Linked DNA regions of Cricetulus griseus. The main gene of each other region encodes a partner of the protein of the gene in region 3 in a complex. Links are inferred from orthologs where the notes say so. Each region holds a gene or a part of one and is shown on either strand. Other genes may lie near its edges.

The links. Proteins that work in one complex are often made in the same cells at the same time.
Region 1: Taf1b (region 3) and Polr2h share a complex: the UniProt entries of both Homo sapiens proteins name them as parts of the pol I pre-initiation complex. The link is inferred for Cricetulus griseus from reciprocal best matches to the Homo sapiens genes TAF1B and POLR2H.
Region 2: Taf1b (region 3) and Tbp share a complex: the UniProt entries of both Homo sapiens proteins name them as parts of the transcription factor SL1/TIF-IB complex. The link is inferred for Cricetulus griseus from reciprocal best matches to the Homo sapiens genes TAF1B and TBP.

The regions. Positions count from the first base shown.
Region 1 is NC_048597.1:67,932,157-67,936,439, forward strand, and holds the start of Polr2h (DNA-directed RNA polymerases I, II, and III subunit RPABC3), read right to left. Parts: upstream 2,801-4,283; 5' UTR 2,459-2,800; coding exon 2,386-2,458; intron 1,409-2,385; coding exon 1,325-1,408; intron 1,080-1,324; coding exon 986-1,079; intron 1-985. UniProt on the Homo sapiens protein: DNA-dependent RNA polymerase catalyzes the transcription of DNA into RNA using the four ribonucleoside triphosphates as substrates.
Region 2 is NC_048595.1:294,445,530-294,449,029, forward strand, and holds part of Tbp (TATA-box-binding protein), read left to right. Parts: intron 1-1,306; exon of another isoform or gene 1,307-1,311; 5' UTR 1,312-1,422; coding exon 1,423-1,476; intron 1,477-2,392; coding exon 2,393-2,763; intron 2,764-3,500. UniProt on the Homo sapiens protein: The TFIID basal transcription factor complex plays a major role in the initiation of RNA polymerase II (Pol II)-dependent transcription.
Region 3 is NC_048600.1:27,151,102-27,154,601, reverse strand, and holds part of Taf1b (TATA box-binding protein-associated factor RNA polymerase I subunit B), read left to right. Parts: intron 1-1,611; coding exon 1,612-1,768; intron 1,769-3,500. UniProt on the Homo sapiens protein: Component of RNA polymerase I core factor complex that acts as a GTF2B/TFIIB-like factor and plays a key role in multiple steps during transcription initiation such as pre-initiation complex (PIC) assembly and postpolymerase recruitment events in polymerase I (Pol I) transcription.

The sequences.
Region 1 (4,283 bases), on a different chromosome or scaffold from region 3:
ACATTTAAAAATGGAAACTGAGCCAGGCATGGTGGCACAATCCCAGCACTCAGGAATCAGAGGCAGAGGCAGAGACAGAGGCCTGTGAGTTTTCGGCCAGCCTGACAGTCTACAGAGTAAGTTCCAGGATAGTCACGGCCACACAAAGAAACCTTGTCTCGAAAAACCAAAAAGATAGAAATAATTAAAATAGAAACTGATAACAACAAATGCCATGGAAGCGCAACCTTATTTGGCTTTCACATCAATTCAGTGAACTAGAAATGACTGTCTGTACTTTATTGATAAGGAAATGGAAGATGGAAGTAGTGGAGCTGAGAAGTAAAAGTTCAGTATATAGTCATGGCTGTCCTAACTGGCTATGTAGACCAGGCTAGCCTCAAACTCACAGAGGTCTCCTGCCTCTGCCTCCTAAATGCTGGGATTAAGTGTGTGTACCACCAGACCCAATACTCCACAGTCTTTCTGTCACACCAAAATCTAGGTTACTATGTAATCATTTTCTAGGCCTTAAAAAAGCTACATTTGCAGGGTGTGGTGGTACATACCTTTAATTCCAACACTGAGGAGGCAGAGGAGGTGGATGTCATCTGTGAGTTTGAGACCAGCTTGGTCTACATAGTCCAGGCCAACCAGGACTACAAAGTGAGACCCTGTCTCAAATAAATAAACAACTGCAGTTCACAAGCTTCCACTCACTGCTCTCACTAAGTAATCAAGCCAGTTGTTTGAAATTTTTTTCAAATTTTTTAGAGACAGGGTCTCCAGCCCAGGTTGGTCTCAGATTTGATGTGCAGCCAATGGTGTTCTTGAACTCCTCATCCTCCTGCCTCATCTCCCGAGTTCTGGAATTACAGACACAAACCATCACACCCAGTTCTGGTTGTGTGAATTCTAAGTGCAGTAATGTCTTTTTCTAGCAGTAAAATAAAGACCATTCTATGTACTACTTATCTATTTAGTCCCTCCTTTACCACCGCCTCACCTGGAAGGCCTGTCATCTGTGGGGTTGTATTCACCATCATCCAAGGTACCATCTTCATACAAAGTACTAGCTATGACCAATCGGAACTTGTCACCTGAAAAGAGCATCAAGCGGAAACCAAAGATAAAAATCACTTGCTAAAGCCAGTCGTTGGCAGCACATGCTTTTAATCCCAGTACTCAGGAGGCAGAGGCAAGCGGATCTCTGTGAGTTCGAGACCAGCCTGTTCTACAAGAGCTAGTTCCAGGACAGCCTCCAAAGCCATAGAGAAAACCTGTCTCGAAAAACAAACAAACAAACAAAAAAATTCACTTGCTAGCTCCTGTGTTGGACACTTACCCAAGTCCACTGGGTAAATCTGAATGTTCACGTCTAAGATGAGGTCCATCTTGAAAGATTCACTCTCACAGTGCAGCCGAGATACTGGGAAAGAGCGACAGACATAATTACAGGCAACAGAGTCGGGGTCGAATGCAGGAGAACAAATCTTTCAACTAGTCCACAGCCATTAGCCTTGCTCTGGGACACAGACACAGAGTGCAATCCAAATCAGATTCAGAGAAGAAAGGGAGTAAACACCTCAGCAAGTGTCAGGATCCCAAGAAAGAAGCAGAACTTCTCTGGCAGCAACCCGTCTCTAGGCTCTAAGCACACCTGGATGATTTAGACTAAACTCAACTCTGAACAAGATAGTCATTAGTCCAGAGATCCCCACTTCCTAGTAGGCACTCTGCGGAGGGAATAGGCAGGGTGTATTGAGAACTGACACCTGTCTTTAAAAATGGGGGGGGCACGCCTTTAATCCCAGCACTTGGGAGGCAGAGGCAGGTGGATCTCTGAGTTCAAGGCCAGTCTGGTCTACAAAGCAAGTTCCAAGACAGCCAGAGCTACAAAGAGAATCTGTATTGGGGGGGGGGGGGTCTGTCTCCAGGTAAAGTGACACTGAGAAGAAACAACTTCCGGATTACTGGGAAATGAATACACCAAGCAGTCAGCTGCATGAAATTTATAGAGGACTCGGCAAAGGGCTAACAATTCTTGGGGCAATACAAAACTATGGGTTAGGAAGACAGGGAGGTAACTCGCTGCACGGCCTTAAGTAACAAAATAGATCGGGCACCATCACTTCTTACTACAATACTTAAGTGTGCGAGAGAGGCGCACGGTACATACAGCACGTAATACTGAATAAGGAGTCAGAAAGGTGTCCAGGGCTTTCCCAACCCCAAAGCCAAGGGCCACCGAGGCACCAGACACCGCAAACATCATAGGAAAAGCTGTCCCAAGTTTCTCATTATGAAAAACACTGTTTCCTGAGGGAGGTACCGAGAGGGTGGGACGGGCCACTTGGGGTGGGTGGGCATGTTTGGCCTCTTCCTCACCTCCCCTACACACCTTACCTCGGTCAAATTTCTTGCCTTCTGGGTCAATGTCTTTCACATCAAAAATATCCTCGAACAGGATGCCCGCCATCGTAAGGGGCACGAGAACTGCAGAGGTGCGGAGCGCGCGGCCACCACTGGGAATTCGCGCACCCCCTCACGTGGAGAAAAGAAGACAGGGCAGAGTACCGCCCCAAAAAGCGGCAACCAGCCGCAGGGCGCATGCGCACAGGCTTCAGCAACGCAGCCACTTCCGCTGCCTCCCCTCGGGGCTCCTTCACTTCCGCCGGGAAAGGCCACCTCGGAGTGGCTCGGACCTTGTGGGCGAGTCTCAAAGCGCGGTGACTCCGCCCAAGGCGGGGACAGACTAAGTCCCACCCCCGGCGGGTACCGCGATGCGCCCGGCTCTAGGGCGCCCTCTTCAGACCCCGGATCCCGATGCTTGGAAGGCTCCGGGACCGGACCCAGCCAGGAACCTTGATCCTTGGCCCAGAGGGAGCCCGGCCCTAGCCCTTCCCTGCGGTCCGCGTGCCCGCCGAGGGCACAGTCCGTGCTGCAGGAGGGTGAAGCCGAACTCCACCCGCAGAGCGCCCGCCCAGCGGGACGCAGTGCCCAGCCCCTCGGACGGCCACCAAGGTTCCCCACGCTGGTCCGAGCTGGCTCTGACCAGCTAGACGTCACCCGAGCCGGGTCCGTCCGGTTTGGGAATTTGCCGTGATGTCACTGTCAGGGAAAGGAAAGCCCGCATTGTGCCCTCGCCTGGGGCTTCACCTCCTCGCCACGCCGGTCTTCCCTTGGCCCTGCTTGGCACTAACTCTGATCCCCTAGAACACTGCCAATTGAACTTGGTACTGCCTGTCACCCCACTACACTACCCTCTTCTGGACACTGATCCAGTGCGCTTCCACCCGACACTGGCCTTTCCCTGGGAAACGACAGCTCGCAGCGCGCTCTTTCCAGGTGCTATCTCCTTTCATCGCAGCCCCCGTACTGGGCACCGTACGCTCCCCTTGAGCACCACCCTCTGTTTGCTGAATGAGTCTTCATCCTGATGCTGTTCTTTCTACACGGATTTCTGGGCACCGTCCTCTCCAGTGGCACCAACCTAACGCTGTCCATCCTCTTTGTGCCAACGCCACACTGTTCTTATCCTTCCAAGGATCCCGAAAGACAACGTAGAGCTTCACTGGGCCGCTTCCTCGAGGCGTCAGCAGCTACTCAAGTTCCCCCTTTAAGCGATGCCTGGGAGGAGCGACCTCTGCTCCCCCACGCCCGCCTCCCAGGAGCAGCCTCCCCCGCACCAATAGCTCCCTTCCCTCGGGCCTCACCCCTTCCCGTCCCCTCCCACCTCCACCTCCGCCCCGATCTCCAGGCCTAGCAGTTCCAGGTGCACCTTCCCGGGGGAACCCGGAGGAAAAGAAGAAAGGAGGAAGGGAGGCGATAAGGGAGCGGGCTCTCAGGAATCCTCCCAGACCCGTCTGAGCCGCCAGCAAACGCGAAGCAGAGGCTGCCCCAGTCGAGTCTGGCCTGGAGAGCCCGAGATAGCTCGTCAGCAGCCCCCTGCCCCAGCCCTGGAGTCACTACATCCTCAGCCCCTCCCGCACAACGCTGCAGCCGCCCGAGAGCCCGTCCCCTCCACGTGCCAGCGGACCCGCCCCCGTCCGGCCCCGCACCCTCTCGGGGCCGGGTCAGCCCCCGGCCTCCCCAGAGAAGGGGTGCAAGATCGCGTTGCAAGCGCCCCCTGCCGCTTCTCCGGAGGCCAGGAGGCGGCTCCAATGCAGACCCCAGCCCGACCGGACGCCCCTGCAGATGGGCCAGGGCGGAGCAGCAAGCAGGGCACCGCCCTCGGCCCGCCCGCCAAGGAGGGGACGCTAGCGAGAGGCTGAGCCTGCGGCGCGCGCCCGGGGACCGTCGCA
Region 2 (3,500 bases), on a different chromosome or scaffold from region 3:
GGTCTGCATGAACTGACTTGATTAAAACAAATGTCTTTAAAGAATTGGGGATGGGCATTTGCCTAGCATTTATGAGACTATGTTCTGTCACTACCATTACCAATTTAAAAAAAAAAAAAAAAAACTTTACATAGTCTCTTATTCCATATGCATATTGAATATGGCCACTAAAATGATGATTTATGAAGCCCAGTTCCAGGCATAGTTTTCATTAGTATGTTCTAAGGAGTTAAGAATAAATATTGTATTTATAAAATTGATGTATCATTTATTGTTTAATCTGTCTTTAATTAAAATTGGAACACAAAAATGATTACCTATGCTAAAAATGATTACACAATATGCTTATTGTGTCCAGTTCAATATTTGTGGCACTTTATGCTTGAGACATTGTGAAGGGTATAAAACTGAGAATATTTAAAAACCAGCATTGACCTAATAGTGCTGTATAAACACTGCTTAAGAAAGTATTCTCTGATAATACAATTTGCTTAGGAATTAGTTTTCTCTAGGTGTTCCCCCATACCAAAAACAAGTTCTTTCTACCTGGCCACTAACCAGGTTTATTGGTTTATTCATCAACCAATAAGAGAAACATATACACAGAAGGACATCACCACATCATCTCCTCTTTTCTAAATAAAAAGGGTTTTATCCTTAACATGGTAAAATTACATATAACAAAACAGTTATCAAGTAAGAACTATAGTTACAATATTTAGTCCATTAACATTTAGCAAGATTTAAAGAAAATATTCTATCTATCCTATCTTTGTGAGTCTAAAGTCTTATGTGTAACTTATCTTTTATCATAACTAAGGAAAACAGTAACTGTAACTATTTGTCTTCAACTCCATCAAAGACCATAGAAGGATAGTATATAAACTCTAGAATTGACAGAGACATCTCACTGCCTGGTCAATCACCCAAAGTTCCTCTATAACATTGGAACATCCATCTTCGGCCCATAGGCCATAGTGTGTCTGACAGACTTCTCAGTGAAACAGGAAATTTTAAACTGTCCTTCTGTATTGGCAGACATTTCCATGAAGCAGGAACCCTGCAGGACTGTCCCATTTTGTTTCAGCAGTTCAGCAGTCACTTTCCTGTGGGCACTGCATGTCCACCATATACGGTATACAGGCAAACAGTCCAGGCAAGAGCAGTTTCTTGCCCAAATAGTCATGTCAAAAGCAATAGGCTTTTGGGATTGAAAGATAAATATATTTCTCCAGGATAGATTTTGTGTGTGTATGTTTTGTGTGAATATGAAACCTATTTAAACTTAAAGCATTTTTCCCCCAAGCACAGCATCACTGTTTCATGGTGTGTGAAGATAACCCAGAAAATTAAAGGAGTTTCAAAAGAGAATTTGCAGAGGATGCTCTAGGAAAAGTCTGAGTACTGAAGACAGTGAGAACCATGGACCAGAACAACAGCCTTCCACCTTATGCTCAGGGCTTGGCCTCTCCACAGGTAACAACAGGAAGGGGGGACAAGAAGGGCTGACAGAGAAGGTGAAATTTAACCATCCAGTAATGGACATGGATTTGTATGTTTCTCAAGCTTGTTTTACTTTGTGAAAATTTATGCTGTGGATAGGCATAATGCCCCTTTGCTTGGGAGTTTATTTAGAAGACTGTTCCATCTTTGTGAACTGTAGAACATTTATTTCATTTGCTTCAGGAGGTTCCTTCTAGACCCTCTCGCAGTCACTTTCCTAGCCCAAGATGACAACCAAATCTGCTTTCCAAAATTAAACATGTTTTGATGTAAAATGTATGTGTGTATTTGCAATAGAATTAAACCTAAATTGTTACTAATTTAGTATAAATTTTGCCATTTTTTCTTTCTACTTCCACATAAATAATTACTAAATCTAACAATGTTTGTAAGACATAGAAGCATTATAGAAAAGGCAGTTAACAGTATTTTATAGGCTTTGTTGATTTTTGTTTTTAGTAGAATAAATAGCTCTTTGAAGTATCATAGAGTATACCATGAGCTTGTCATCTTGAACCTCTAGGTGACTTTGTGATCCATCATCCAAATGGTCACATGTTAAGCTAGAGGGTAACCCTCATATACTGGGTAGCACTTTAAAGGGACATGTACCTTTGATTTGTCCTTATGGTCTAGATATGCTTGGGAGGCTAAGCATCTTTCTTGTATATCATAAATAACAGATTAGAGATGCTAAAGTGCTCAGCTACTATATTCAGTACTACAGAAGAAAAGGGATGCATCTCAGGATAGCAGATTCTTCCCAATATTTAATGACCTATTATATTCAGCAAGCATCAGGTTTTACACTTTACCTGGGTTCCACTAGGAAAAGAACCTGTATTACTCAACATTAATGTCTTAAGCATTCTCTTTTTGCTTTCCACAGGGTGCCATGACTCCTGGAATTCCCATCTTTAGTCCAATGATGCCTTATGGCACTGGACTTACTCCACAACCTATTCAGAACACCAATAGTCTGTCTATTTTGGAAGAGCAACAAAGACAGCAGCAGCAGCAGCAACAGCAGCAGCAGCAGCAGTCTGTAGCAACTGCAGCAGCCTCAGTACAGCAATCTACATCTCAGCAATCCACACAGGGTGCCTCAGGCCAGACTCCACAGCTCTTCCATTCTCAAACTCTGACCACTGCACCATTGCCAGGCACCACCCCCTTGTACCCTTCACCAATGACCCCTATGACCCCTATCACTCCTGCCACACCAGCCTCTGAGAGCTCTGGGATCGTACCACAGCTGCAGTGAGTACCTCTTACCTTGTTTGCTCATGCCCTCTCCTCCCCTCCCCCAACGTGTGTGTGTGTGTGTGTGTGTGTGTGTGTGTGTGTGTGTGTGTGTGTGTGTGTGTGTGTGTGTGTGTGTGTGTGTGTGTGTGTGTGTGTGTGTGTGTGTGTGTTTTCCTTGTCCTCTGCACCAGAGGAAGCTTTCAGTGGTATTACACTATTTGCTTTCAGTCTTACTTAAGGAAGTGACCCAGTGGTAATTCTGTTACACTGCAGCTTCCTCGGCTTTTGGCAAGGAATTGAAGCTACAGTCAATGCTCTCAACAAAACCTTTCCTTAGAAATGGAATTGCTTGTGTTTATGTGTTTGAGTCACTGAAATGAAAACTGAGTTTCATCAATACTGTGGACATTTCCCTGTAGCTAATTGGCTGAGTCACAGTGCAGTTGTTTTCACAGGCTTGGCCATAATGTTAGCAGAGTTCTTAAGTCCAGATTTTTCTACAATTTCGCTGTGAGGGCTATATTTTATCTTTGGAATTTGTGTCTCTCTTTCAAAGTGAGGATAGCAGTTCTTGTCTTGATACATTTTTCTGCCTAAGTGAAGTAGTTCCCACGTGTGAAAAGGTAGGAGATACAGGCTTTTTTCTTTCTTCTGAAACAACCAAATCTAGATACTCCTTAGTAAGAAGTATGCAGCTTTACTTTAAGGAAGCTTATGTCCTGATTAAAGGGTTCATTGCAGATGACAACACA
Region 3 (3,500 bases):
TGTGCATGTGTGTGTCCAACACACATATGGAGCTCAGAGGACAACTTTCAGGAGTCAGAGTCTCTCCTTCCACCATGTGCATCCTGGAACTTGAACCTCCAGAGTTGGTGGCAAACACCTTAGCCTGCTGAGCTAGCTTGCTGGCTCCACAATGCTAACTCTGGAACTACTGTTCCAAATCAGAAATTTGATCCCCAAAAGGGGAAGACAGCTAATCGCACTTCTCCAGCCAGTAGATTCCTTAGTTAACTGCTTACCTGCTGTTCATCCGTGTACCTGGAAAGACCTCATCCTCATCACTGAAGCTCTGTGTGTGCTTTTAAAACAGTAGCTCACTATGCTGCCTAGCTTGGCCTCTGACTCACAACCTTCCTGCCTCAACCTTGACAATATTACAAACATAGATTTGTGTCACCACACCTGATCAGTGTGACATCTTGATTTCTTTGGCAAACTGTCCCCTTTGCCATCTCCTTTGTCTTGGCAAATGTCTTCATTCTTGTTGCATAAGCCAGAACCTAGGATCATGCTTGTGTTTTTCTTATATCTTATACCAGCCATTGCTAAGCCCCTTGACTCTGCCTTCAAAATCTGCCTCAAACCTGACCACTTTTCATCGTCTGCAGAACAAGTGCTCCTAGCCAAGCTCTTGTCCTTCTGTCCTGAAAGAGAGACCTCCTCTTCCCATCCCAGCCCTCCTGTAATTTCATCTCTGCTGTGGACCGGATAGTAGTTCCAGTCAAAGAGCAAGGACATGTTGCTCTCATGTTAGAGCTCTCCATAAACTTCTGTCCTTATGTAGAATGTAATCCAAAGTAAAGACCCTGATCCTGAAGCTCCACACAGTGTAGTTCCACTGTCTGTACTGTAGTCTGCTACTTTTTGTCATTTGTAACCCTCCCACACGTGCACACAGGCACACACACATCCACACATACCCACCCACACTAACACACACACATACACACCTTTTTGCTGCTGTTGGCCTGTTGGGATTTTCCTTCAAGGTAGAATTCATCAGGTTTGTGCTCAGATACCACCTTCTTAGGGAGGTCTTTCTGGCCATCCACTTGCCCCTCCTACCTTTGGATGCCCCTGCACTGCCATTTTCCTGAGTAGCACTTTCCTGTGTGCATTGTGATGTTTGTTTATTTATAGGAGAGGGGAGGCATCATTCACTCTCATTTCCCCAGACCCAGGGGAGTGGCTCAGAGTGAGATCCATCCCTATTTGTAGAATGGACAGTGTCCACTTGAGGAACCTGGCGGGTGGAGGGTAGGAGAAGGTACTGCCTCCTTCAGGGGCTCCCGGAGAGGCCTCTCTGAGGACATCACACCAAGGACTTAACATACTTTCAGTGTTCTTTGTAATTGTTCATCCTTTTATTTTAAAAACAGTTTGTGTTGGCTATTTACAAATTTACATCTCTTCAGAATTTCACTCCACCCTGCTCCCATAGATAACCCTAAATGCCTGTTAGCCTGGTTCCCTTCTAAAGCCTTCATGGACTTTCACTGCTAGATTGCTTATCCAAAGTGAATCAGTTATGATCTGTCTTGAATGCCCCGTGTTTTGTTACTCGGTTTTTAAAGTCTTACTTTGTTCCTAAAGAAGCAGCAGATGTCTGTTCCGGATCTGTGGATGGAGTGGAATACTCGGAGTGGAAGGAGAAGGGTGTCCTGAAGATGACTGTGCCCAGGACCCTTGCTCTCTGCTACCTGTCTTTGCTCTGGCAGAGAGAGACAATTACCCTTTCAGATCTTTTGAGGTGAGCTGAGCTGACTTCCTGATCATTTGTTCATGGTTATCTGTGGGAACTTAGGAGCAGCCTCTGGATATTCCTGACTTTACAGGACAGACCTCGGACTTCGGGAAGTGTGTGGGTTACTTTTCTCCTTGTGAAAGAGAACTGACAAAAGCAACAAACTTAGGAGAGGGAAGACTGGTGCTGGCTTGTGGTGGAAGGGGATACAGTCCTCCGTGCTGGTAGTGGGCTCATGTCAGATCACTGAGTAGAGGAAGGGATGTGACTATCTTTATTCCATTTCTCTTCTGTATTGGGTTCAGGGCCTAGTCCATGGGGGTGGGGCAGTGCCACCTGCATACAAAGTGGATTTTCCTTTAGTTAAACCTCTCTGGGAACTTTTCCCCAGACATGCCTGAGGTAGATGTGTAACCTAGACCAGTTCAAATTCAGTCAGACTGACAGTGACCCTTAACCCCACTGCATGGAGCTTGGGTTCTCATTCTTGAAGTTAATCGACTTTAAGTCTAATAATTCAAGTCTTTACTGATGCAGTGGAAATGGTAGTGTTCTGTTCACGTGAGATATTAGAAAGTTAATTATCTCATGTGAATAAAGTACTTTGAAGAGAAAGTTGACATTAATAGTGTTGTATAGACATCTTAAGTATTTTTCTAAGAAAAGATGAACAGGGATCTTTTACTAGCAAAATGGCCTTTAGCAGTTATATAAAACCATGTATTGTGGCTATAAAAACTAAAATATAGGCAGTCTGTGTATTAGGAAAAGTTGATATCAAAACTATAGAAAGACCTTGTAATGCAGTAGTAGGCTTTTACATATTTCAAGGTAATCTAGAGAATTTTAGACAGAAAGACTGGCCTAAAGAAGTAAATGCCTGAGATAAAGCCAGCTCTGTTGTACAGGGTTTTATAACTAATGAGCTGAGTGTATAAGAATCAGTCACTTACTAGGCAGACCACAATCATTAATATGTTCATTTCTCCCTTCCCTTATATGTGTTGTGAATAATAACATTGAATTTAATCAGTACATGGAATGCTTACAAGGGCACAAGTTTGAAGCCAGACTTCTGGCTCTGCCAATTCGTCCTCACATGACGTTGAGCAAGTCAGTAAATGTCTGTTTCTGCTTCCCTCTAGGTAAAATGGGCTATACTAATAATGGCATCTTAGGGTTCTAGCCACATTGGCCATTGGCAGTTAGAGCAAGTCAGTAGAGCCCTGGCTAATTGTGATTATTTAGTTTTCCCTATCACCCTCATCCTTGTCATCATCATCATTATTGGCACTTGGCCCTTTTATTAAATAGAATGCTTCTATCAGCCTGGTCTCCAGAGTGAGTGCCAGGATAGGCTCCAAAGCTACACAGAGAAACCCTGTCTTGAAAAACAAAAACAAAAACAAAAACAAAAACAAAAAAGAATGCTTCTAGTTAATGATGATAGTGCCTTTGACTTGGCACATTAACCAAATAACCAAGCTTTTCTCGGGTATGAAAACCACTTGTGATTCTGAGTTGAATATTGCCTTGCTTTGCACCCTCACTAGATGACATCATCTTCTCCCAAGACTCTAATTATTATCTATGTGCCGAAGACTCCCGATTCTGTATTACTGCCCAGGCTTGTCTAGTGAGGGCCCAACCCATATATTCATTCATCTGTGTAGCTGCCCACTGGACATGACTACCTGATGTCTTTATGGTTGGTTAAGTCTGTATGACTAAAAAGTGC